Struthio camelus: one gene and its partner. The protein of the gene in region 1 interacts with the protein of each later gene in a biochemical or structural test. Links are inferred from orthologs where the notes say so. Each region holds a gene or a part of one and is shown on either strand. Other genes may lie near its edges.

Region 1 (11,411 bases):
CTTCTAGGGGAAAAAAGGCATTTTTAAAAGCTAGGACTCTCAGCCCTGATAACGTCCTGTTCAGTACAATAAAAATAATCTGTGCTTTACACCAGATTCCTGTAACTTCTTTTATTTATTTATAAAGTACAATTCATGTAAGTAGTGCTAAACAACAACTGCCAAATCTGTATACATCAGAGTATTTTGGACACGATTCTTACAGCATCCATCCTTAGTGCATCTGAGCAAAAGTCTAAGTAAAACAGGTATAAGCGGTAGATTAGGAAGAATAAGAAGCTGGAAGAATCATAAGGAAAACGTTACAAAGAAGCTTAAAGTAGAACATAGAGAAAATAATATACAGAGAGATGGTTCTTGAAGCATACGGATGCAGCATCTTCAGCTTCGGAAGAGTGCAAAGAAACAGAAACCATATCCCCAATACAGGGTCAGACAAAGCACAGTACACAAGGGAAAAAAGGGGAAAAAAAATAACGTGTGAAAAAAGATGTCATAGGCTACTGTCCTTTATAAAGTGCATAATTAGATACATGGATACCCCTTATAAAAAAATACAATTTTATACCTAGGAAACATTCAGAAGGCTGGAATGTCAAGAAGCAGCAAGCTTACCTTTTCTAACCTGATTATTAACTTATTGACTTCAACTACATAGTGATCAATCCTGGCTGCTCGGTGTTTCTTGAAATCAGAAAGATGGCTTCTCATAGCACCTGAAGAGAGAGAATGCATGAGACAAAGTTTTCAGAGCCATCCTGAAACCTGGTCTATATGGGCATAAATGCATTTAAATAGTTTTTGAAAGATCGCTTTCACTTCTTTTCACTGTTTGTTTCTCGCATCCAAATGGAATTTTAAAGACACATCAGCATCCTATATTTTCGTGGTGCTGCTCTAAATACAGCATGCAGGCTACAGCGTTATCTCTGAGCTAGCAATAAACAGTGTTTTATTTCTATTACAGAACACAATAACCACTGCGTTAAAGAGAACACCTGCAACAAAAAAAAATTTCCCCCTTTGTGCCTAAGTTACACTTGGCAAGCTGTTATCAGCTAGTGGTATTTTCAAGACTAACTCCCTATGGTTTCTTGACAACAACTGAACAAAGCAGATCCAGTGAACATTCAAGATCTCTACAACAGCAATTTCTCTTTCAGATTTCTGGTCATCCTTCCACCTTTAGGGGCCTAAATCAAAGCCTAGATCATGGTTCGGATTTAAATACATTTGATTACCAAGCAAACAAAAGAATACAGAATTAATTTAAGCAGCGTACAATTCAAAACTAACAACGCCGGGGTAGAGTTTTGATCCTTTTCTGAATAACATAAGCCAGATATTAAAAATCAAAGTTACAGATAAAATACAGAAATAATTGTTCCTCCGTAATGGGACAGGTAGAACATAAAATCAGATGTTTCTCTTTGACGCTAACTGTTTATAAGAATTTAAGGTGATCTCTTTTCCTCATTCTAATGAGATGCACAAAAAACTCCAAAGCCACATTCACAGGAATGGAAGGGCCCCTCTAGGTAACTGAGTTCACACTCTGCTGTCGCACACATCAGAAGGTCCCTTTCACAAACCCACCAAATCCTATCCTAAAAATCCGTAAGGTTTATCTTCCCTGCTTCCGTCAGGAAAGAGTTCTCACTTCTCTAATGCGTAGAAGCCTTCTGCTAATTCACAGCCTAAATTTATTCTTAGCTAATATTTATACTTATGATTGCTGCTGAAAGAGTCCAAGTTAAAAGTACAATCATCTACAGAACTCAGACTCTGGCAGACCCACAGGACTAAGTCCCAGGCTGTCAGCAGCACAGGGAAAACCTTCCCAGGACCCACCAGTAATAGCACTGCCTCCCTTTCCTCCCCTGCAAATAACTGTAACAGTTCAGTAACAGTAAAGCGCAATTTCTAGTAGCGCTATTTGTAATTACAGGATCAGTCAACACACTTTTGAACTTCTGCAAAGTTTAGTCTATATCCAGAGCTGGGTTTTTTGTTGTTTGTTTTTATTAAAGAAAACCTCTTCCTTCCAAGCAAAAAAATGAAAAAGTTCAAGTGAAGGGACAAGCTTTCTGTCAGGCACGTCAACTAACATCGACTTTAAGTATAACCTAAAAGTCAGAGATTTTGTATGGCTATAGTTTAATTATTGATTAGTGGATTATCTGTTTTGTAAAAAGCCAAACGATGGTTGCAGGACACCTCAACAAAGCTAGATCCGGAGGTAAACACGTGTATGCAGCAGGACTCAACAGCTCAGGCACAATGACATGACAAATATAACCATCTTGCTCCAAATGTCAGTTGGGGTCCTGGTGCAGGTTTTTTTTCCCTTGCATTATCTGCAGTTTCCCAGTCACCCTATATAACATAGGTAGGGTGCAAGAAACCACATGCAAGCCATCACTCCATGCTGTAGCATTTGATCTATGAATCAAATGCAATACAGACAACTTCATGCAGCTTCAGCAATACTGTAGCATTTTCCCCAATTAAGATTAAAAGAAAAAATTATCCGCGCTGCATATCGCTTCCTAGTTCTCTTACCGAGTTCTTGGGGCTCCCACATGTACGGATCTACTCCACCATAGCTAAACGACTCATATCGTTCCTGAGACCCAGAATCAGTTCGATCATCTTCTCGTTTCAGCAATTTCTTCTTCGCTCTTTTAGCCTTCTGGACTAGATCTGGAAAAGACAGACCCGCATGTCAAGCACCCGACAGTTAGTCACTGAATATTTGTCATTTGAAGCCAGTATAGAATACTCCTCTGATCTTTGAGCACAAGTCTTTTTCCTTGATGACAAGTTTATTATTAATATTTTTGATTTTTACGCCAATATAACCTAGCCTGTTTGGAACCAGAGCACGGTCCAGAGAACCACAGCCAATATGAAACGGTGTTTGTTGTCTGTTATAAAGTAGCACTAAGCTCCTAATGACAAAGCAGTAGTTTTAGACGCACCATTCTGAGACTTAACTGCAAAACAGTAAGCTGTTGACTAAAGCAGCATTAACTTATGAGACCCACTCCATAACATGCTGGGCCACCATACATATAACAGCTCTTCATTCCGAATGATTTTCTGAGGATTCAAGGATGCTCAGAACCTTCTTTTCTCCATTTTTGTACTAACTGCAAACTATATCTAGATAGTTTCCCAAGTACTATGCGGCCCATTCCGTTACCTCATAGTAACGCTAGTGAGAGGAGGACAGTCTACTGGGCCAAAAGGAGGACTAGGAATTTGAAACTTGAGAGCTTTTATCCCCCTTGCAGCTATGTTCCTCTTTGGAAGCTAGCAGAATTTGAAGGGTGCTAATTTTCTTGCAGAAGACATTCAATTTCTCCTAGAATTAAGTCTTTTATACTTCAAGGTTTCTGACACGGTGCTGGGAACCATGAGTTAGCAAGTCCCTTCAGGTTTCTACTTTCCTTATGTAGTATCCAAAACACTAGAACTTCCACCTCAACTGCACCAGAGCCTCTGTTCGGGAGTTTCAGTCACTACAGCTGTGCCAGCAGCACCCCTTCGTGCAGGCATCATACTTACTAACTGAAGTTTTTCAGCTGCTGAAGTTATGCTTCCTCACAAAACGACACTCACTGAAATGAAACACTCTTGTCAACAAAGCTGTGTCCCCGTCAGGCTGGCAAAGGCTTTGCTAGCATTGTAACATCATCGCAGAAACAGGATTTCTCCTCCCACCTTTCCCCAAAATACTCCCAAGGCAACATGGCAAATGCTAGCTGAACACTGCAGTTTCTTAGGTGAGGTTTACACCATATAAACAGGAAATATAGTAAGTGAGACATACACAAAAAGAATTCGCGATGCCTCATGGTTTTGCCACAGACACAAAAGGTTTTCAAGCAGACTTCATAATGTCTTTCGTAACAAAATCAAACACAAGTACCTCTGTATGACTCACTCAAAGTACTAGAAATGACTAGAAGTCACCTTATAGCTCCACAGTTAGGATACTCTGAATTCGGCACAAAATCACATAACTACTCGTGATATACGGTTTGAACTCTAGTCCCTTGTTTAAGGGAAAAGATAGTTTTGTTGGCCTTCTGTCTGGGAGGGACTTCACTGGGTAGAGCTAGGACAGAAAGTAAGCAAATAAAAACAACATTCTTGATATCAACACACAGATGAAAGACCTGTGCCTGAGAAGGCGCAATACACTACTTTAAAAGAATACTACAGAGAGAACAAAATCAAAATGCAGGTGTTCTGCATTAAATAAAAGAAAGCATTTGGGAAATCTTACCAAGCCTAAGTTGTTGTTGTTTTCTTTCCTCTTAGTGCAATGCAAACCCTATTGCTGTTCTGGTTTAAACACTCCACTGAAGCGCCTGCGATTCAGCTATTACAGCACTGTGCCCATGATGAGAACGTGATGCAGTACTGACCAGTCTGCCTTCACTGTCCAAGAAGAGCACAGTGCTAAAAGCCAAGTAGCAGCCAGACTGATGGAAAGCAACTTTTTATAAAATATATGTTGTACATATATTTTTTAAATAAAACATTCAATCGTACTACTCTTAAGATAGGTTATTAAAAACAGGAACTTCACTTACAAGAGAGACTTTTGAAACAATAGCCACCAATCTCATTAAAAAAGAAGGTAAAAATTAAAAACTGCCAGGGTGCTATCTCTATTATAATAAAGTAACAATGAAAAGATTTTTGCAAGGAAGACAGAAAATACCCACTGCTCTGCACATTTCTCTCTCCATGTAAAAATGACACAGTGTAGACAAAAGAGAAACCAAGGAAGCAGTATTTTAGTTGAAAAAGAATCCAAAGGGATTTTCCAGACACCAGTGAAAGTTGGTGATCTGGAGCGCAACTCTGGGATACTCTCAGCATCTATCTACTGCCCTCCCTCAGCCAGCACCTCCAGCCATGTTCTTGTCTATGTTTATCTACCACCAACCGTCCTTAACTTTACACTTCGCCTCACTGTCAGAAATAGGGGATTAATGAGTTGGTACCTGGCAAGACCGGAGATTACCTATGTTCTGTGAAATCCCAAGTGTTAGCTGAAGAATTTATCTGGGTTACAGCATGAATTTGAGAGTGCTCAGGTTAAAAAATAAATAAACAAAGCCAATAACATGTACACAGTACACGCAATCAGATACCTGCAGAGTCAGGCCTTCTAAGTGACTACTTTCAGTATGTAAATTCTAAAACACCACTAAAAGTAGCGAGTGAAGAATAACGTATTAACTACGCCTTAGCGTAAGTCCTTTCACGGGGAAACGGAGCCCTGCCCCCGCCGTAACTCACTTCCATTAGTATTTCAGTACTACTAGCCATCCTGAGGGTCTGCAGCACCAGCAGCTTCGGCTGCAGGGAATTTTACCAGACAAAAAGGAAAGCGCCAAACGCGCCGCCAGGCCTCACTTCTGAGCTGCCCTCGGACATCCCCGTCCTCGCCGGAGTGCTCCTCCTCGTAGTGCGACTGCAGCTGGTAGAAGGACTGAAGGTCCTTGAGGCAGAGCGGGCACAGGAACCCTTCTCTCACGTCGCCCGGGTCGCCGAAAGGCGGCGGGCAGCTGGAGGCCATGGCGAGGGCCGTCCGCGGGGCACGGCTCACCGCCGAGCTGCGGCCGCGGCCGGGGCCGGGCAGCGCGGCGCGGGCATCGCCCCGCCTGCAGGGAACCGGCAGCGGCGCAAGGCTGGAGCCCCCCGGTCCTCCAGCGGCGCCGCCGGGGCCGAGCGGCCAGGGCCAGGGCCAGGGCCGGCGGGGCCTGCAGCGCGGCGCCTCTCGGCGGGGCGGCGGCGGCGGCGCGCAGGCGCAGTCGGCAGCTCGCGCGGGGCGGGGCGGCGGCGCGCAGGCGCAGTCGGCAGCTCGCGCGGGGCGGGGCGGCGGCGCGCAGGCGCAGTCGGCAGCTCGCGCGGGGCGGGGCGGCGGCGCGCAGGCGCAGTCGGCAGCTCGCGCGGGGCGGGGCGGCGGCGCGCAGGCGCAGTCGGCAGCTCGCGCGGGGCGGGGCGGGGCGGGGCTTCGCGCGGTCGCGGGCCGCTGGCGGCTCCCCCTCGCCTACGGCGCACCGGGGCGCTGGCAGCACGGGCGCGCTGAGCCCCCGGCCGGCTGTGGCCTGGCTCGGCTCGGCTCGGCTCGCAGCCGCCGGGTGCGCGTCTCTGCCTTCGGCGGCGGGGCAGCCCCCGGCCGGCCGCGCCCCAGCCCGCCGGGGATCCCGGCGGCGAGCACCGAGCTACCAATGGGCAGGGGCGGGCGGGCTCGTGCGGACGGCAGGGGGCGGGGCCGGGCAAGGCGCGCTCTGCCAAGCGCAGAGCTGTCGATGGAGGCGGCGCGGCGCGGCGCGGCGCGGGGCAGCCGTGGGGCCGGCTGGGGCTGGGGCTGGGGCTGGGGCTGGGGCTGGGGCTGGCGGCCCCCCTGCGCCGCAGGCTGCCTGGAGGTCCCCGCCGGGAGCGGCGGCGGGAGGCCCGGCTGGGAGCGGGGCCCGGCCCGGCGCCGGCGCGGCGTTTCCCGGAGCGCAGGCCCGGGCCGGGCGGCAGAGGGACTGCTGATCCCGCCGGGAGGAGCGAGCGGCCCGGTGGCGGGAGGGCCCGGTGGGGGGAGGGCCCGGTGGGTGGGTGGACGGCCCGGTGGAGGGAGGGCCCGGAGGGTGGACGGCCCGGTGGAGGGAGGGCCGGGTGGGTGGAGGACCCGGTGGGTGGAGGCCCGGTGGGTGGGTGGAGGGCCCGGTGGGTGGACGGCCCGGTGGGGGGACGGCCGGGTGGAGGGAGGGCCCGGTGGGGGGAGGGCCGGGTGGGTGGACGGCCCGGTTCCTTTTCCTAGCCCGCCGCGCCCTTCGAGAGAAGCTGTTGCAGGCCGCGGGCGGCCGTGCCGGATTGCGCGCTGCTCGCAGGGGCCGGGACTCCCAGGACAGCCTGCTTCGGCCCCATGCCGCCCGACAGACGGCTGTGGGACGCAAGGACGAAAGCTTGTTCGTATCCCCTTTCGATGCTCGTTACTGCTCGCTCGGGCGGTGCTCTGTGCTGTCCCCCCTTCCCCAGCGCGCAGAGGAAAGAAGGGTGCAATCGTACAACTGCTTCATCTGTCAAGATTACAGGCTTTTGAAGGCAGAGACTTTCCTATATCTCAGGCAGCGCTCCTTACGCTTAAGTCCCATCCGTTCAAGGTGGAGCATCGTTGCTAACGTCCCACAGTCTCATGCCTGAAGTTCGGGCATCTCCGTTCTCAGCAGGGATCCTGGGGAATTTTCCAAGGCACAAATTGCTCCTAGGTACCCAACCCCCAAGGTCTTCAAATCTTAGCTAAAGGATATTTATTGAACGGTCCCACCTGAGATATGTGGTTTATCCACAAACTGTTTTGTGAGCTGTCCTAAATTCTGCTCTCATTCCTGCAATCTCATCTTTATAGGCTGACTATTATGTGACCATCTTCAGCACCTTTCACGTCACCAGTGAATTTGACCTGTTTTGCTTGTATAGTTCCATAATCCATCAAAAGCATAATGAGAAATTAAAGTCTTGAAACTGAACTAATTTAACCAGAGGAGTAATTGAATGTTATAAATAGCCAAACTATCTGAATTTTTAAATCTGCAGTTTCCTGCTGAGACCCGTTATGCTTTGCTTTTCAAAACAATGCAGTCTTGATTCGATTATGAAGAGAGAATCAGGAGGCTATGGAAATAACGTAGAAAACAAGTTACAATCACCTTCCTGTTTTGCATGCAAAACACAGACTCAATTCCTCTGATTTTAAAAGCTGAGAAGAGGCTTTAGGATGCTGCAAAAGCTACTCTGATCAGATACTCTCCTAGCAGTGCAGTCAGGCAAATTATAAGCTGTTAAGCTTTTTTTTTAAAGGTATGACTTAACTTTTTTCCTTAAGTTAAGGGGCTATAGTACCCCTAGTTCTTAAAAATCTGAATGTGTTTTTTAAGTGTTATGATTTTTATTTTAAAACTTGAAAAATTCTCATCTATAGGGACTGGAGTTTAAAGGAGCAGTATATGTAAAGAAGGAAGGTACTTCATGGATGAAAAGGGGAAAAACAGAAGTAACCAGCTTACATTTCTACTGATGTTGTTGTATAGAAAAATATATTTTTGGCCTCTTCCAACCTTAGTGAGAAGGGTTTAACCACACATGGAAGAGGCCTGCCAAGATGAACTCAGTATACTCAATATTGAGCTGGCAAAGCCTTTTACCGTACACATCTCATCAAGGCTTCTGGGGTTTCTCATTGGATAGACCTATATGTGGAATTGGGGCTTCAATTAATAGACGTGTCGTGATCTTTCTGGATTTGCTGGAGCTCGGCTGTTTCCTAGCACTGAGCCATGCTTGTGTTCTGGGCAAGACAGGGGGAACCAAATTGCTGCCCCTTGGTTGTTATCTTGCTCCTTTTGGCCAGGCCTCTGTTCAGGCCAGCGATTTGTAACACACTGAGCCGGGGAAGGACTCCTCCAGCAGTACGTGTGTCTCTGGGGGACTGGAAAGACTCGGAGAGATCTAGGTGGGCAGTGAGACCTATGTTTGGATGGGAGGGAAAGAGTTCAGAAGGGTGAGAGTGGGAATAAGCCCCCCAAAAGGCGAGAGCAGATGCAGGGCTTGGTGGAGGGGGGGCTCTCTAGCACTTGGGTTGTCTTGTTCCTGCCGGGGGGGTGCGTTCTGCTCTGTTCCTTGTTCAGCACAAGCGTGGCTTGCCAAGGCGGTGAAGGGCGGTGGCGAGGAGCGGGTAGGTGGGGAGAAGCGGCTGCCGCCAGATGGCACAACAAGCATGTCTGAGAACCGCCGAGGGTCTGGGAGCGGGCGTCTGCAGGGGATTTCACAGCGCTGGGGCTGCCCAGCGTTCGGGATGGACTCTCTGCCTGGCCGTGAGGCCCTGATGACCGACCCTGGCAGCTCGGGCCCCTCCTGTCCTGTCATTCCGAAGTGGTAAGAGTCGGGCAAGGGAGAGGGAGGCTCCTGAGCAGCAAGGTCTTTTCTTAAAAAAGAAAAGCTTTGCCGTAGCTTCCGTAACTGCTAATTTTCAGATGGATAATCTTAAAGGCTTATTAAAATGGTAAATACAATGATTAAAGTCTTAAAATAATAGCTTGCTGTTGGACGATAACCATATAGTGAGAAGGACTGCCTACAGTGAGTTGTGGTAAGCATGCTAACATGCTGCAACGTACTCTAAAAATCAAAGACTTCACTGGATCTTTAGTTAATTACGTTCTTCTGCATGTTGTGCCTTTGACAACAGACTACAACAGAGCATCTCACCAAATGAATCTTACTGAAGTATGGATAAAAAGCCATGTGTCAGTCACTCTTGAACAGAGAAATTTCATTCAGCACTTTGAAAGAAAAACGCTATAGATTTGCACACTTCTAAACAGAAATGGTCTTTAGCAGTTCCTCAGGAGCTCGCTGAGTGCAACCAAGTGAGTGGTTGCACCACTTCACTGTGGTGTGGATATTTACGACGCTATTAGACTGAGAATCAGAGAAGTAATAAATGATGCAGAGTCAGCATGCCAGATGTAGTCGTGATGCGTCAACGGTAATTGCTGGTTCCCAAAGGCAAATTTGGGCTTAGGTATCCCTCCTGAAGTGCAGGGGAATGACCTAGGCTTGTGCTGGTGTGAATGGGAATAGACTTTGGCTGCCTGCCGCTCATTGAGACGCACTTTCCCACTCAGAGAATGTTCAGGGTCCAAAAACATCTCAGTCTAAAGCAATCCAGTTTATGCTACTTCAAAAATGAACTTGGGTTCATCCAGCTAGTTGCAATGGAAAGAGATGGTGATGCGAAACAGCAATCTAAAAGGTATTTGGGGACCAATTAAACATTACAGAAATGCTACTGATGCTGTTGGGGACTAAATTTGAATCAGTAATGATTTGCCGTTGTGAATCAAACTGAAAGAGCAGCAATACAAAAAAGGAGAGTGTTTCAAAGGCTTGCTCGAGTGGCGTGTTCACTGCCCCATCTCTGCCACTGGAATATGAACACCTGGCCTGCAAAGCCCCATTTCTCATATATAACTCCTCCTGCTCTGCCGCAGGAGTAGAGTGAAGGGGTCCTGTTTGTGATGTTAGCTGACCTGCTTTCATCCAAGGACCTCAAAGTTCTTTGCAAACATTCAGTTAACAAAGTTGTATAATATCTCGTGAGATGCTATGATACCTCTAATAGTGAATTTTAGGGCCCTGTCTGGTGCGAACTTGGTCGTTGCGTCTGATGTCCAAGACGAGACACTTTAGTGAGGATACAAGTGAGGGGAGGAAGCCAGTCAGCTCTGTAGCAATGGCAAAGTCCTGCCGGAAGGGTATTGCACTTAGGTTCTCCTATATTCTTTATCTTCCTGTAAAATCCTCAGTGGCATTTGCCATGATAAATAATAAGAGTCTGATCCCAGCACAAGAGAGGTAAATGTAGACTAGAGGTAGTTCTTGATAAGGCCTGTCTGCTGCTCAAGGAATGCAATGGAGCGTTTTTACACAAATATGGCTTACTCATTGAAAAAAGTTTAAAATATCTGACAACTAACTGTGTTGAATTCATTCCGTCCTTTTGGTGGAAGCAAAGATTGGAAAAATCAGAATGTTTTTCCTTAGTATTTTCTAAACTAAACAAATATTTGGTCTAAATGGATGCTATGTTTTTGAAATTGGCCTAAGTTTTGTGATAAATTTTTAAAATGTAGTTTTAAACCTCAGAATAGGTTGTGCAAAATATTCCTAATGTTTCCAATAACCCAAAATGATCTTTGATTTTCATATATCTGAGAAAACAGTTTGGGTTTTGTTTTTTTTTTGCGTTGGATAGATCTGAAACAACATTTTATGCAAGGTTTTTTCTCTGAGCAAAATTAAAGTTGCAGATCTCTGTTCTTAAGTACCTTTTAATGAAAATTCATATACTGAATATACTCAAGCTGCCTATAGTAAACACTTTGATACAAAGCAAACTTGTTTAATTAGTCTACATAGGGAGGATAAGAGAAGCTACATCTCCATGCCAAATCTATGATTTTTCTGTGTTTGCAGACTCGTCAATCAAAACTGACAGCACGATGGCTTGTGGGAGCTGCCGCTGGCAACTTGTCGAGCCCTATTTCTGTGATTTGCCTGTTAACTCCTTCAGTACTGTCTTAGTGCTGAGGTTCTGTGCAGTGAAATGAGGCTGTCTAGCAGGCCAGTCGTCAACACAAATTTACCTCTTCCCTTCACGCGGCTGATGAATGTGGCGTATTTGTCCTGAGTGCTACTGATATCATGGAACGGCACCACTTTATAAAGAGGGGAGAGAGGAATATTCAGAATTCCTCTGTGATTACATATTGTTTGATGTTGTAACTGAAGGATCCATAACGCCACGATGTTTAGATTGTGTTCAGGACTCATTT
Region 2 (11,338 bases), on another chromosome or scaffold:
GAAACATACAGGTAAGTACATACCTCCAAGCTCCTCAACCCCACAGAGTTTGATCAATACTTCATCTTCTATAGACAACATGCACTTCCCTCCAAAAAACAAAGAGCACTTAGTCTTTTGATCCGTAAGACTAACCTGGTGCATCAGCAACAGCCCCACACTGGGGAACTAGTCACTGCACAGTTGTGAGGAGCTATGCTACAGCTTTAAAAATTAGGATTCACAGAGCTAAATTTGCCCAGATAACCATAAGAATACTTCTGAAGTTGTTATCAGACTACCATAAATGAAACTAGGGCAGTATGTATGACATGTATCCTACGACAGGATACTGTTCAGTACTGAATACAAGTAGCTCAACTGAACATCTGACCTGAGCAGTCAGTACCATACTTCCAGATTGTCCAAAATTCAGATCATTGCTACATACAGAAAACTACCGCCCGCTTCAAGACGGAATCTAGTTTGTCATATGACATCTGCTTTAACTAGGCAAGTTAGCCCTAACTCCATTAGGGAGCCAGGAAGCCAGGATCTCCCGTGCATCCTACAAAGCTGATCTGACTCAGCTCTCTTCAGAGGAGAGGATAAGTATCACTGCCTGCATGACTGAGTCAAGAAGCACAGTATTTTGGTCAAAGGAAGCCATCAAGTTGAGTGTGCACCTAAAACTAGTCAGTGAAACTCACACTCCAGCCTTTTAGTTCCCTCTTGTTATAAGAATTTCTAGCATGAACTGTCCTTATTCTTCATCCAAGTCACTTTTATAACTTCTTTGCATTAACAGCAACCAGTCAGCATCTCAGTTCTACAGCATCTAAGATCTTGATCAGATTTTTTGCAAGCCTAAGACAACCCTGAGCCACATACACACATCAACAGTTCCCCGTGTGGAATACATTAAACCCCCAGAAGGGACAAAAGAAAAGTGTGAGCAAACTCAAATTCAGTTTTAACTCACTGGAGAATTCCATCTCAAACTCTTTTATATGCAAGTTTTAATATCTCCAATCAGATGCAGGAAGCTCTACCACCAGCCTAGTGCAACAGCAGGCAAATACTAACCCTTAATCCTTCCATTACCAAGCTTCCAGCACTGTCACGCAGACGCTTTCCATAGCGCAGGTATAATTTGGCAATGGAGCGCTCATGTACATGCCTATGCTCTCTCAATCTTTTTTTTTTAGCCAGCTCAACCCCATACACAATCCCTTTACCAAAAAAATTTTCCTAGGTTTAAGCAGTTACCAAAAGTTTTTGGCAATGTCTCATAAAGTGATAAGACGTTATGCTTACTGATGCTACCTTGGTGCTACAGGTTTCTATATTTAAGAGACAGTTGAATAAGTATCAGCAACAAAAGTTATCATTTTGGTAACACTGGCATTACAAGGAAGTTCCATGCCTAATCCAGTGGGGGTTTTAATTCTGGAGAGGAGCATGACTAATTGCTTTCAAAACTGCAGTTAGTGCCCTATTAGATCACCATAGGCTGAACAGAAACATGCAATTAGAGCAGGCAGAGGTATTGTGCTTCTGCCTGTTCCTTGTACATCAGGAAAGTGACAGGGATAATATTAGAACACACATTCTAACCAGTGCCACTTAACCCTGCAGCTCTGTTTACATGATAGCAAGTGAACTCACACACGGTCATGGTGACAGAAGATCCATAAACGCAAGCTTTCAGTATTGCCTTGGTCAAGCTCTATTTAGGGGAGCTACGGGGATAACACACTTGCAAAGCGTGCTGTGAAAGGAGCAAGAGAGGTGGCAACTTTCTACTAAGTATTAAGGCATAAAATGCAGCATTGACTTCTATGGAAGTGTTTTACATCACCCTCATTTTAGGTAAGCTTCTTCCTAGCTGGATGGCGCAAAGCTACCTATTCCAGATACCAAAGCAGCCCCTGTCCCCACATTAACTCCTCTTGGAGGTCTCATTTCCTTTTAGTTATCCTTGACAACGCAAGAACTTAGTCCTATTTCACAGAAGTTGAGACATAGCTATTCTGAGGAAGTTATTCATGAGCACAGTCTGGACCAACTAGCAATTGAACAGAAGAGTCAAGTTTTTAATCTTGTAGGAAAGGTTCTTATACCTCCTGTTTTTGGTATTGTCTCCTACTGTTTAGCACACCCTTGAGAGACTCAGCCTATTTTTGACCAGGAGCCCAGGAACATACACCTTTAGATGACATCTACTGTTTTGTGAACAGGACAACAAAATCATTAGCGGTGCAAAGCAGAGAACCGCCATCTTCACTGCAAAAGAGTCAGTGACCTTCATAATATCTTTTCCAGACTGCACAGAGATCTGCTGCCTCTAGCAGTTCCTTATTTGGAACACTACTGAATAAAAACAAACATGGAAACCAGTGTTTTCTTATCTGTTCATGTAGAACTATTCCAGGAGTTTGTTCCTGTGCTTCAGAGGAAGAAAGAGTGTTCCTTTTAGGATTTAGATGAAGCTTTATTCTTCCCTGGTATTGTCATTGCCAGGAAGGCTCTTTTTCCTCCGGCTAGCACTTGGAATGTTTTTGTAGCTTTACTCTGAAGATTTAACAGAACTTGCATAAGACTACTTTAAACTTCATACCCCGAGGGAATAAAACAGCTGACTCTGCTATTTCTACATTCTACTCTCCTAAGTATGCTGACCAAAAGACTTCAGGCTACACCCACTTCACGAGAAGTGTTCCCATTTCATTTCCTGTGTCTGAAAGTACTTGGCATTCTTTTCCCTCCCTTTTTAGGGAGCTGCCATGGCCACCTATCACCTAAACATGCAGCAGCCTAGAAAGTTAGGATCACAAGAATTGATATGACCAGCATGGCCTATGGAAAGCCTCTAACTGATCCCTCTCTAGATGCAGAGCTGCTTTGCCAAGATGGAGACAATTCCACTTCCTCCCCACTCCTCCGCACAGTGATTTAGTTTGCCAAGCAGGCAGAGTATGAATTTGTTACTAGACAGTTGTTTTAGACATGAGCCCAGTCCATTAGTCATTTCATTAACAGAGCAGACTGAGCTAAACCCAACTCTATTCAGAGTAAAACCAGACAAACTTTGATTTTACTAAGCTCATATCCATACATGAGGTTAACCTTTTCCCTTACAGTTCTAGCAATTTAAATCCTTCTTCAGAAGTCCCACTTTAGCTTACATTGCTCCCCAACCTGGAAAGGTATTAGAGCCTAAACTGCCTTCTTAAAGGACCTGCACTGCCAGGAACTATCTTAACATGAATGTAGTCTGAATTAACCTGTAATATACTAAGGGTGAAAGACTGCCTCTAAAGGCAGATTTTGCTATGGAGAGTACTTGACTATTTGGGCATACTGTTGAGATATCTAGTTTACTCAAGAGAAGTTTGAGATGGATTATAACAACTGATTCTCAGTACTAATGAGTCTAAGCACACCTGTTCTTAACCTTACAGGTCTGTGTAGCACAGTGCTTTACCTGCTTTCCTTACTCCAAGGAGGCATTAAAACCAATGTTGACTCATAGCTCTCTACAGCTTTTTCAGTCACTGCTCTTCTATCTCATCCCATTAAATTGAAAACTCAGCCCAAAAAACTTCAGAGTCAAGGCAGCAATGAATATAAATGAGCTATTCCAAGGGAGTTCATTCACAGCAGGGCAGGCTAACCCAATATGAATCAGAAGTATGATTTTATTTTTCGGTCTCAATCAAGCTCTGTAGCCACTGCCTTTAGAGCGAGCTCAGGAGTCCTAACTTAGTGCAAACTAGGATTGATGTCATGCTATAAGCAGGGCAGCTCACATATTTAGAGACCCACCACACAAAACACTAAGAATAGTAGATGCATGTTGCTCCACATAAACTTAAAATAGTACCTCAGTGTACTCTCTTCGCTTTGCTTTCCTTACATGTTTGGAAACTACCAAGGTCAGAGGTGTGAACAACCACGTACAGAAACAACAAGTTAAAAGTCAACTGAGAGCAGGTCAACACTGTATTTGATCTCACAGGCAGTGCATTTTACAGGGAAAAGTCAACGTTGGTTAGAGCAGCAACTGAGTTGTCATGGCTCCCATGCTTCAGTGAGTTTTAAGAGCACCTTGAACATTATCAGGAACACAGCTCAAGCAACTTTTGCAGGTTCTGGCATTACAAACCTGTTAGCTCACCCTTATTTCTGCACTATGCCAGTCTATACAGGATCACATGTTGACTATCCTCAGTTTAAACACAGCATTGACTCTTCTGCTGCACAGAAGAGCTGTGGACGGTCTTACGTCTGAGCATTTGGGTTTTTCTTGCCAGCTCCGTTCCTCATTCAAGAGCCTGCAGCACCACATACTTCATTTCACATCTGTCCCTTGGAGGACACAGGGGCAGTGATTTTCATCAGCAGGAATCCAGAGATGCCTCAATTCCCCTGGAACCTATTTTCAGCAGTTAAAGTCACATGCTTCATTTAAACAGTTTTCTACTTCAGAGCCCAGCTAGTCTTTCAGACTCTTCTAGAGTTTCTATGCCGACTTCAGCAGTTCACTAACTGCAACAAAATATTATATCACTTCTACCCCTACAGGGGCCACCCCTCCCCCAAGTCCCATTTAAGTTCCACACAGTCACCTCTAAAACACAGCACTACGAAAGAGACAAAGGGATTGAGAAACAGCATTCACACAGACCCTCAGAATACTGACAGCAAGTGCTTGCACTCACTGTTAAGTGAGCCCAAGCCTTTCTTATTTATAAGGAAAAACAATATTGAAGAGCATTATTAAGAGAGTCAGATCTGAATTTGCAGGAAGCCAGTCTTACATCTTCATCAGATTACAGGCTGTCGACTTTGACATGCTGATCCTTCGGGCGAGCAGAGCTGCCTTTGCTGGCTGCAGAGCACTACAACACCAGCTTCACTCTCCACGTCCACAAGGCCGGTCTCCCGCGGGCCAGCAAAGTTCACTCCCCTGCCTCGCACGGGTACTGACCCCGCACTAACCTGCCGCAAGACCGGGCTGCTCCTACCCCCGCTCGGGCGCCCTTACTGCACGGCTCGCCGGGGCCCATCCCTCGGGTGAGGCAGAGAGCGCGAGTCCTCCAGCGCCGAGCCGGCCCGAGCGGACAGCGCGGCCGGAGCCGGGCCGGGCGGCGGCCCCGCTCCCGGCCCCCGCCGGCTGCCCGCTCCCGGCCCAGCGGGTCCGGCCAGCGGCGGCCAGGCCGCGCCGCGCCGGCCCCCCCCGGCCCCGGCCCCCGCAGGCCGCGCCCCACCCCGCAGGATCCCGGTCCAGCCCAGGCGGGGGGGGGAGCGCGGCCGGGCGGGCCCCGGGCCCCGCGCCGCCGCCACCGCAGCCTCCCCGGGCGCCGGCCGCACTCACCGCGCCGGCCCCGGCCCCGCCGCCGCTGCTCGCCCCCCGCCTCAGGTGAGTCCCGCAGGCTCCGGCCTTCACTTCCGCCTTTCACCCGTTCCGCTTCCGGATCCGCCCACCCCCCTTCCGCTCCCCGCCGACAGGCAGCGGCGCCTGCCAATCAAATTCGCCCCGCCCCCTCACCGGCGCTCCTCCCCCACTCCGGACGCACCGCCTCACGCGAGGGGCGGGGGCTGAGTGACGACACGACGTAGCCCTTTCCCCCGCGGGGGACGATGGGAGTTGTAGTCCCGGGGCAGCTCGGGGATCCCCGGGGAGCCTGAGGCGTTGGGATCCTGGGGGATCCCGGGGGGAATCCCTGGGCCAGGGGAAACTCGGGGCACGGGAGAGCCTGGTGCAAAGGGGGAATCCCAGTGCATGGGGGGATGTCCGGAATGGGGGATCCCGGTGCAAGGGGGGGTCCCGGTGCAAGGGGGGGTCCCGCTGAAAGGGGGGATCCGGATACAAGGGGGAATCCCGGTGCAAGGAGGAATCTCGGTGCAAGGGGAGGGGTCCGGTGCAAGAGGGGATCCGGGTGCAAGGGGGGGGGGTCCCGGCGCAAGGGGGGGGCCCGGTGCAAGGAGGGGTCCAGGTGCATGAGGATCCGGGTGCAAGACGGGGAGTCCTGGTGAAAGGGAGGGGTCCCGGTGCAAGGGGGGGGGGGTCCAGGTGCATGGGGATCCAGGTGCAAGAGGGGGAGTCCTGGTGCAAGGGGGGGGGTGTCCAGTTGCATGGGGATCCCAGTGCTTGGGTGGGGATCCGGGTGCACAGGGAACCTTGTGCATTGGGGGGGGGGGCAGAAGCTGAGGCTGCTGGTGCTTCAGGGGATCCCAGCGCCCCGCGTCCCCCCCCTTCTCCGTCCCACCGCAGAGCAGGGCAAAGAGCAGTCCCGGCCCGGGGCTAAATGAGCCACCCGGAGCCAGGGGCTGTAAAAATAGAGCTTTTATTTCCCACGTGTGTCTGTGCAGTTTGGGGGCGGGTAGGGGCGCGCAGGAAGGAGAGGGCATGCCGGGGAGGTGTGGGAGGGCGAGGCAGGGCTGGGGGCTGCAGTCTGCAAAAGGGACCGTCGGGGGGTAAAAAAATAAAACTACAGCAATCAGAGCCCTGAAAAACGTGAAGGAAGGGGCCGCGGCCCAGAGCGGAGCAGCGGCCGGCGGGGACGGCAACAGCTCCAGGGCCGCCGCCGCCGCGAGGCCTCGGTGCCGGCCGCGATGTCTCTTGGGAGCCGCTGCCTCGAAAGCGCCCGGAGCCCCCCAAAACGCCCGGGGCCGTCAGGCTGCTGCCGCAGACGGCGGCGCCGGGGCCGGGGAGCAGGGCGGGACAGCGGGGTCCGGCTTACCAAAAAAAAAAGAAAAAGAAAAAAAAGCCCAAACCGCGGGAAAAGAGTATCAAAAGCGTATCAAAATCCCTGCTGGTTTCGGAGGCCGGGGCTCGGCGGAGGGGCAGCGAGGAGGGCGCTGCAGGCGGGACCCGTCCGCCGGCTGGCCGAGGAGAGCGGCCAGCGCGCAGACGGCACCGGGCCGGCACCGGCGGCGGCGGCGGGGGCTGCGCGCTGCCCGGAGCCCCGCGGCCGCGGCCGGCGCGCCGGGGTCAGTGGGAGGCGGCGGGGCCGGAGCGGAGCTGCGGGCGGGCCGGGGGCGGCGGGCGGGCCGAGCAGCCGGCGGAGGAGTGGGGCGAGCGGGCGGGCGGCGGCGAGAGGGGCGGCGCGGCCGCGGCTCGACGGGGCGCCCGGGGCTGCGCGGGGGCCGCCTGCGCCGAGCGGCTGCGCCCGGGGCCGCCGCTGCCCCGGGGACCGGCGGCGGCCGAGCTGCGGGGGCCGGGCGGCTCTGGCGGCACCGGCCCCGGCCCCGGGGCGGCGGCGGCCCCGGGGAGGCCGTAGGGGCAGGCGGGCAGCGGCGCGCCCAGCCGGCCCTGCAGCAGCTCCATCATGCGCTGCAGCTCCCGGCTGAGGTGGGAGACCTCCTGGTTGAGGTGGTTGATCTGCAAAGGCACGGAGAGCCGGGGGCACGGCCGCGCCGTGAGCAGCCCCGCGCCGCCGGCGTGCCGCGCAGCCTGCCGCCGGGACCGGCCGCCTTCCCCGGCGCAGCCGTCCGGGAGACGTGCCCACCCCAGGGGCCCCGGCACCTCCCCGTACCTCCTGGTTGAGTCTCCGGACGTTCTGCTTTATCTCCTCTGCCTCCATGTCCAGGCCTGGGCTGGCCGGGTCGGTCCCTGCCAGAAAACCACCACCGGTTTCAGCCTGGCAGAGCTCCCCAAGGGATGCACTGCCCCTTCTGCTTCCCCCCTTGCAGCCCCCAAGCAGGAGCACGAGGGCCCGGGACGGCCCCGGGGCTCGCCCTGCCCTCGCTGCTCGCTCCTGCCCCTGGCAGAGCCCCTCCAGCCCTGCCGCAGCCCAGCCTGGCCTGACGCCGCAGGTACCTGACGTCGAGGAGTCCCTCGAGGCGCTCTGCAGTGGTGGGTCCACATTGAAGCAGAAGGTTTGTGCCTCCGACGTGCCCCCGTCGTCTTCAATGCCATCCACCACCCTAGGGCAGGGGAGAGGGTGCAGACCGGGGGCGAGTCCCGGGCCGGCCTGGTGGAGCGGAGCGGAGCCCACCATGCAGCCACGCGTGTGCACGGGACGGGGAGCACCGGAGAGGACAGTGTGTGCAATGTGGGGAGGGGGCTGCCCTCTCCCGCACACACACACGGCAAAGTGCGCATGCGTGGCCTGTGGCCCCGTATGCACAGACACGCGTGGTGCATGAGACCCACCAGCATGCACCAGCCTTACCTGGGGCTGAGGTCCGGGGGGCCAAAGCTGTGCAGGGACGGTATCAGCAGCTTGGCTGGCTTCCTGCCACTGCCGGCCTCCCTGTCCGAGAGCAGGGCATCCCGCCGGCACCGTGGAGAGGGGCTGTGGCCCCGGCTGCAGTGGGCTGGCGAGCGGCAGTTGCGCCGCAGGGCTGAGAGCTGGCACAGCTCATCACCCAGCAGGCTGCTGAGGGACCCACGGCGCACTGGGCTGCTGAAGCTGGGCAGCAGCAGCTTGCGGCGGGTGATGGTGGTGGGTGAGCGCTGGAAAACGTCATCGGGTTCCTCGTCGTCCTCGAGGATGGAGGGCAGGGGCTTCTCCGGGGTGCCACCAGTGTCCGGACACGGCTGCGGGTGGGCGCAGGGAGGTCAGGGCCGTACCTGTGTTGGGTGCCGAGGCCAGCCACGCTGCCCCCACCCTGCTCGCCCCCCCAGCCGGGCACCAACCTGTGCTGCCTGCGCCAGCCGCGGGGACCGGGCGTAGCGGAGGAGCCCCTGGGGAGAGAGCACACGGACCCGTCGGCATGTGGACGCGGGGCTGCGGGGGCCCACTGCCGGCCCCGGGGCTCGCCAGGCTGCAGCCCCTCGCCCCCTCCTTCCCCTGCTCCTGTCGTTGCACCACGGCACTGCGCAGCCTTCGCCGAACTCTGCCAGGGCTCGCTCGCTGCCCCGGTCTGCAAGCCTTGCATCCGCCTCGGCTTTCCACAGTGCAAATGCTCTCGATTGCAAACTCGCCAAGCTGCTCGCAGCTAGGAGAAGCCAGGCTGTGCCTGCATGGCCGGGGTGGCACAGCGTCCCTGCTCCCCAGCAGGGCTGCAGGTCCCAGCCAGCACCAGCTCCTCGCATCCTCGCAGCCGCTGCCGGCCTTGCGCGGGGGCATCCCGCCCCAGGGCGGCCGCTGGGGGAGGCAGGGCTGGTGCAGGGGCAGGACACGCACCCACCTCCATCTCGCTGCCCTCCCGCAGGTTGAAGGTGAGGTCCTGGTGGATGTCAGCCGTGAACTTGCTGGCGTACTCGGGGTAGAGTTGCAGCACCTCGCAGAGCCCCCGCAGCCCGATGTACTGCAGGTCGCAGTAGGTCAGCGCCTTCACATCTGCGTTGGTCTTGATCACTTGGTCCTTGCTTGGCAGGTCGGCTCCGATCAAGTCCCCTTTGCCTGCGGGAGGGGATCGGTCACAGCCCTGCGGTGTGAGGGCACCTGAGCTGCCACCCAGTCCACGCGTGCAGCAGGGCCCGCTGCCCTCACCCAGGATGGCCAGCACCACGTTGTCCCGCAGGACTTCCAGGGAGCCGGAGCAGACGAAGTAGTTGGCCTGCAGCGCGTCGCCCTGGCGCAGCAGGTACTCGCCCGGGGCGCAGAACGAGGTCTTGATGTGCAGCGAGAGGGAGCGCAGGCAGCCCCGGCTGGCCGTCTCGAAGACGGGCAGCTGCAGGATGTCCTTGTTCAGGTGCATGGCCACGTCTGCCCGCAGCTCGTCGGGGAAGTCGTGCAGCAGCTGGGGGAGCGGAGTCGGGACGCTGGTGGTGCACACGTGGGGCGAAGGGAGAGCAGGCTTCCCCTGCTGGACCTGCCGCCCCCGGGGGAGAGATCCCCTGCCAGCAATGGGGCATCGTGCAGCGCAGCAAGCTGGGGTGCCCTCGCCAGAGCCCAGCAGCGCCTGGCTGGCAAGCCCATGACACCTCTGGCTGTTGTAATCGGCTCTCTCTGCTCCCCGTGCACGTCCCTGCTCCCCGTGCTGGCAGGAGTCGTGGCCCAGTCCCAGCTTGCAGCGCTGATCCCCCCAGCAGCAGCATGTGTGCATGCACCTTTGCACACTCACATGTGTGCACAGGTGCATGCTTGCACCCGCAGAGCTGGCCTGGCCGGCTCCATCAGTGCACGCTCAGGGTGCAGGATGGGCAGTGGGAGCAGGACTGGCCCAGCGCCACCAACAGCTCCTACCTCGTTCGCATCGATGCCGTTGTTCACCGACCAGGTGGTCTGGAAATACTCCAGCATCCGCTGCTTGAGCTGCTGGGGGAGGCGGTGGACGCGGATGAAGTCCTTGAGGTCCTTCATGCGGGTGTGATAGAGCGAGCGGCGCGAGTACATGCGCTGGATGATGGCCGTGACGTTGCCGAAGACCACGGCGTGCATCAGTGCTGGGGGCCGGGAGGGCAGCGTCAGGCCAGCACCGGGGGCTCTGCCCCGCAGCAACGTGGGGAGCTTCCCCTCGCCCCGCACGGGGGCTGGGCCGCGGGCACGCGCCCATCGGCACCCGCAACGGGTCCCCGAGCCAGCCCCGCTCCCCGCCTCACCCCCGATGAGCATGGTGCAGATGGAGAAGATCTTCTCGGCGTCGGTGTTGGCACAGACGTTGCCGAAGCCCACGCTGGTCAGGCTGCTGAGGGTGAAGTAGAGGGAGGCGATGTAGGCGCTGCGGATGGAGGGGCCCCCCACCGAGCTGTTGACGTAGGGAGCCTCCAGCCTCTTGCCCAGCTCGTGCAGCCAGCCTGCCAAGCAGAGCCGGGGGTCAGCGCCGGGCGCGGGGCCCACGCAGCCCCGTCCCTGCCCTCCGCGGCAGCCAGCCAGGAGGGCTCCAACCCGCCGCTGCTGCCTCATGAGGCTGCTGCCTCCTGCGGGCAGCGGTCCCGGGCGGCCCGGGCGTGCGGCGCTCACCCCCCGCCCCGTGCAGCCAGTGCCGCACCGGCCCCGCTCACCGATGTCCCAGGTCAGGGGGTCATTGCTCTCCAGCTCCTTGCGGCCGATGACGTACCAGATGCATGCCATCCAGTGGGCCAGCAGCGCGAACATGGACATGAGCAGCGTGAGCACCATGGCGCTGTACTGCGAGTAGCGGTCCAGCTTCTGCAGCAGCCGCAGCAGCCGCAGCAGCCGCACCGTCTTCAGCAGGTGCACCAGCGAGGTCTGGGGAGCGGGGCAGGCGGGTGAACCCACGAGCTGCCGCCGGGCCAGGCAGCGCCGCCCGCCGTCCCCCCAGCCAGGGACCCGCCACCACGGGGCCCCGAACGGCCGCAGCTGCCAGGAGGGTGGTGGGCGCTGGGAGAGGCTGGGAAGAGCTCCCTCCCCAAACAGCCGTCCACCGCCATACCCGACGCTCAGCGGGCAGCTGGGCTCAGGGTCATCAGGGCACCGAATGCCCCCAGGAGACGGGA

The links.
Region 2: the proteins of RBSN (region 1) and RAB5C form a complex in vitro, tested with the Homo sapiens proteins (2 studies listed by BioGRID and IntAct, with this or other methods). The link is inferred for Struthio camelus from reciprocal best matches to the Homo sapiens genes RBSN and RAB5C.

Annotation. Positions count from the first base shown.
Region 1 is NC_090955.1:450,841-462,251, forward strand, and holds the start of RBSN (rabenosyn-5), read right to left. Parts: upstream 5,699-11,411; 5' UTR 5,600-5,698; coding exon 5,437-5,599; exon of another isoform or gene 5,320-5,436; intron 3,757-5,319; exon of another isoform or gene 3,571-3,756; intron 2,704-3,570; coding exon 2,563-2,703; intron 717-2,562; coding exon 616-716; intron 1-615. UniProt on the Homo sapiens protein: Rab4/Rab5 effector protein acting in early endocytic membrane fusion and membrane trafficking of recycling endosomes. Required for endosome fusion either homotypically or with clathrin coated vesicles.
Region 2 is NC_090966.1:7,566,829-7,578,166, forward strand, and holds the start of RAB5C (ras-related protein Rab-5C), read right to left. Parts: upstream 5,532-11,338; 5' UTR 5,360-5,531; intron 1-5,359. Other genes in the region: KCNH4 (potassium voltage-gated channel subfamily H member 4), read right to left, coding at 7,553-7,600, 7,808-7,961, 8,163-8,530, 8,630-8,677, 9,124-9,338, 9,429-9,678, 10,125-10,324, 10,481-10,675 and 1 more. UniProt on the Homo sapiens protein: The small GTPases Rab are key regulators of intracellular membrane trafficking, from the formation of transport vesicles to their fusion with membranes.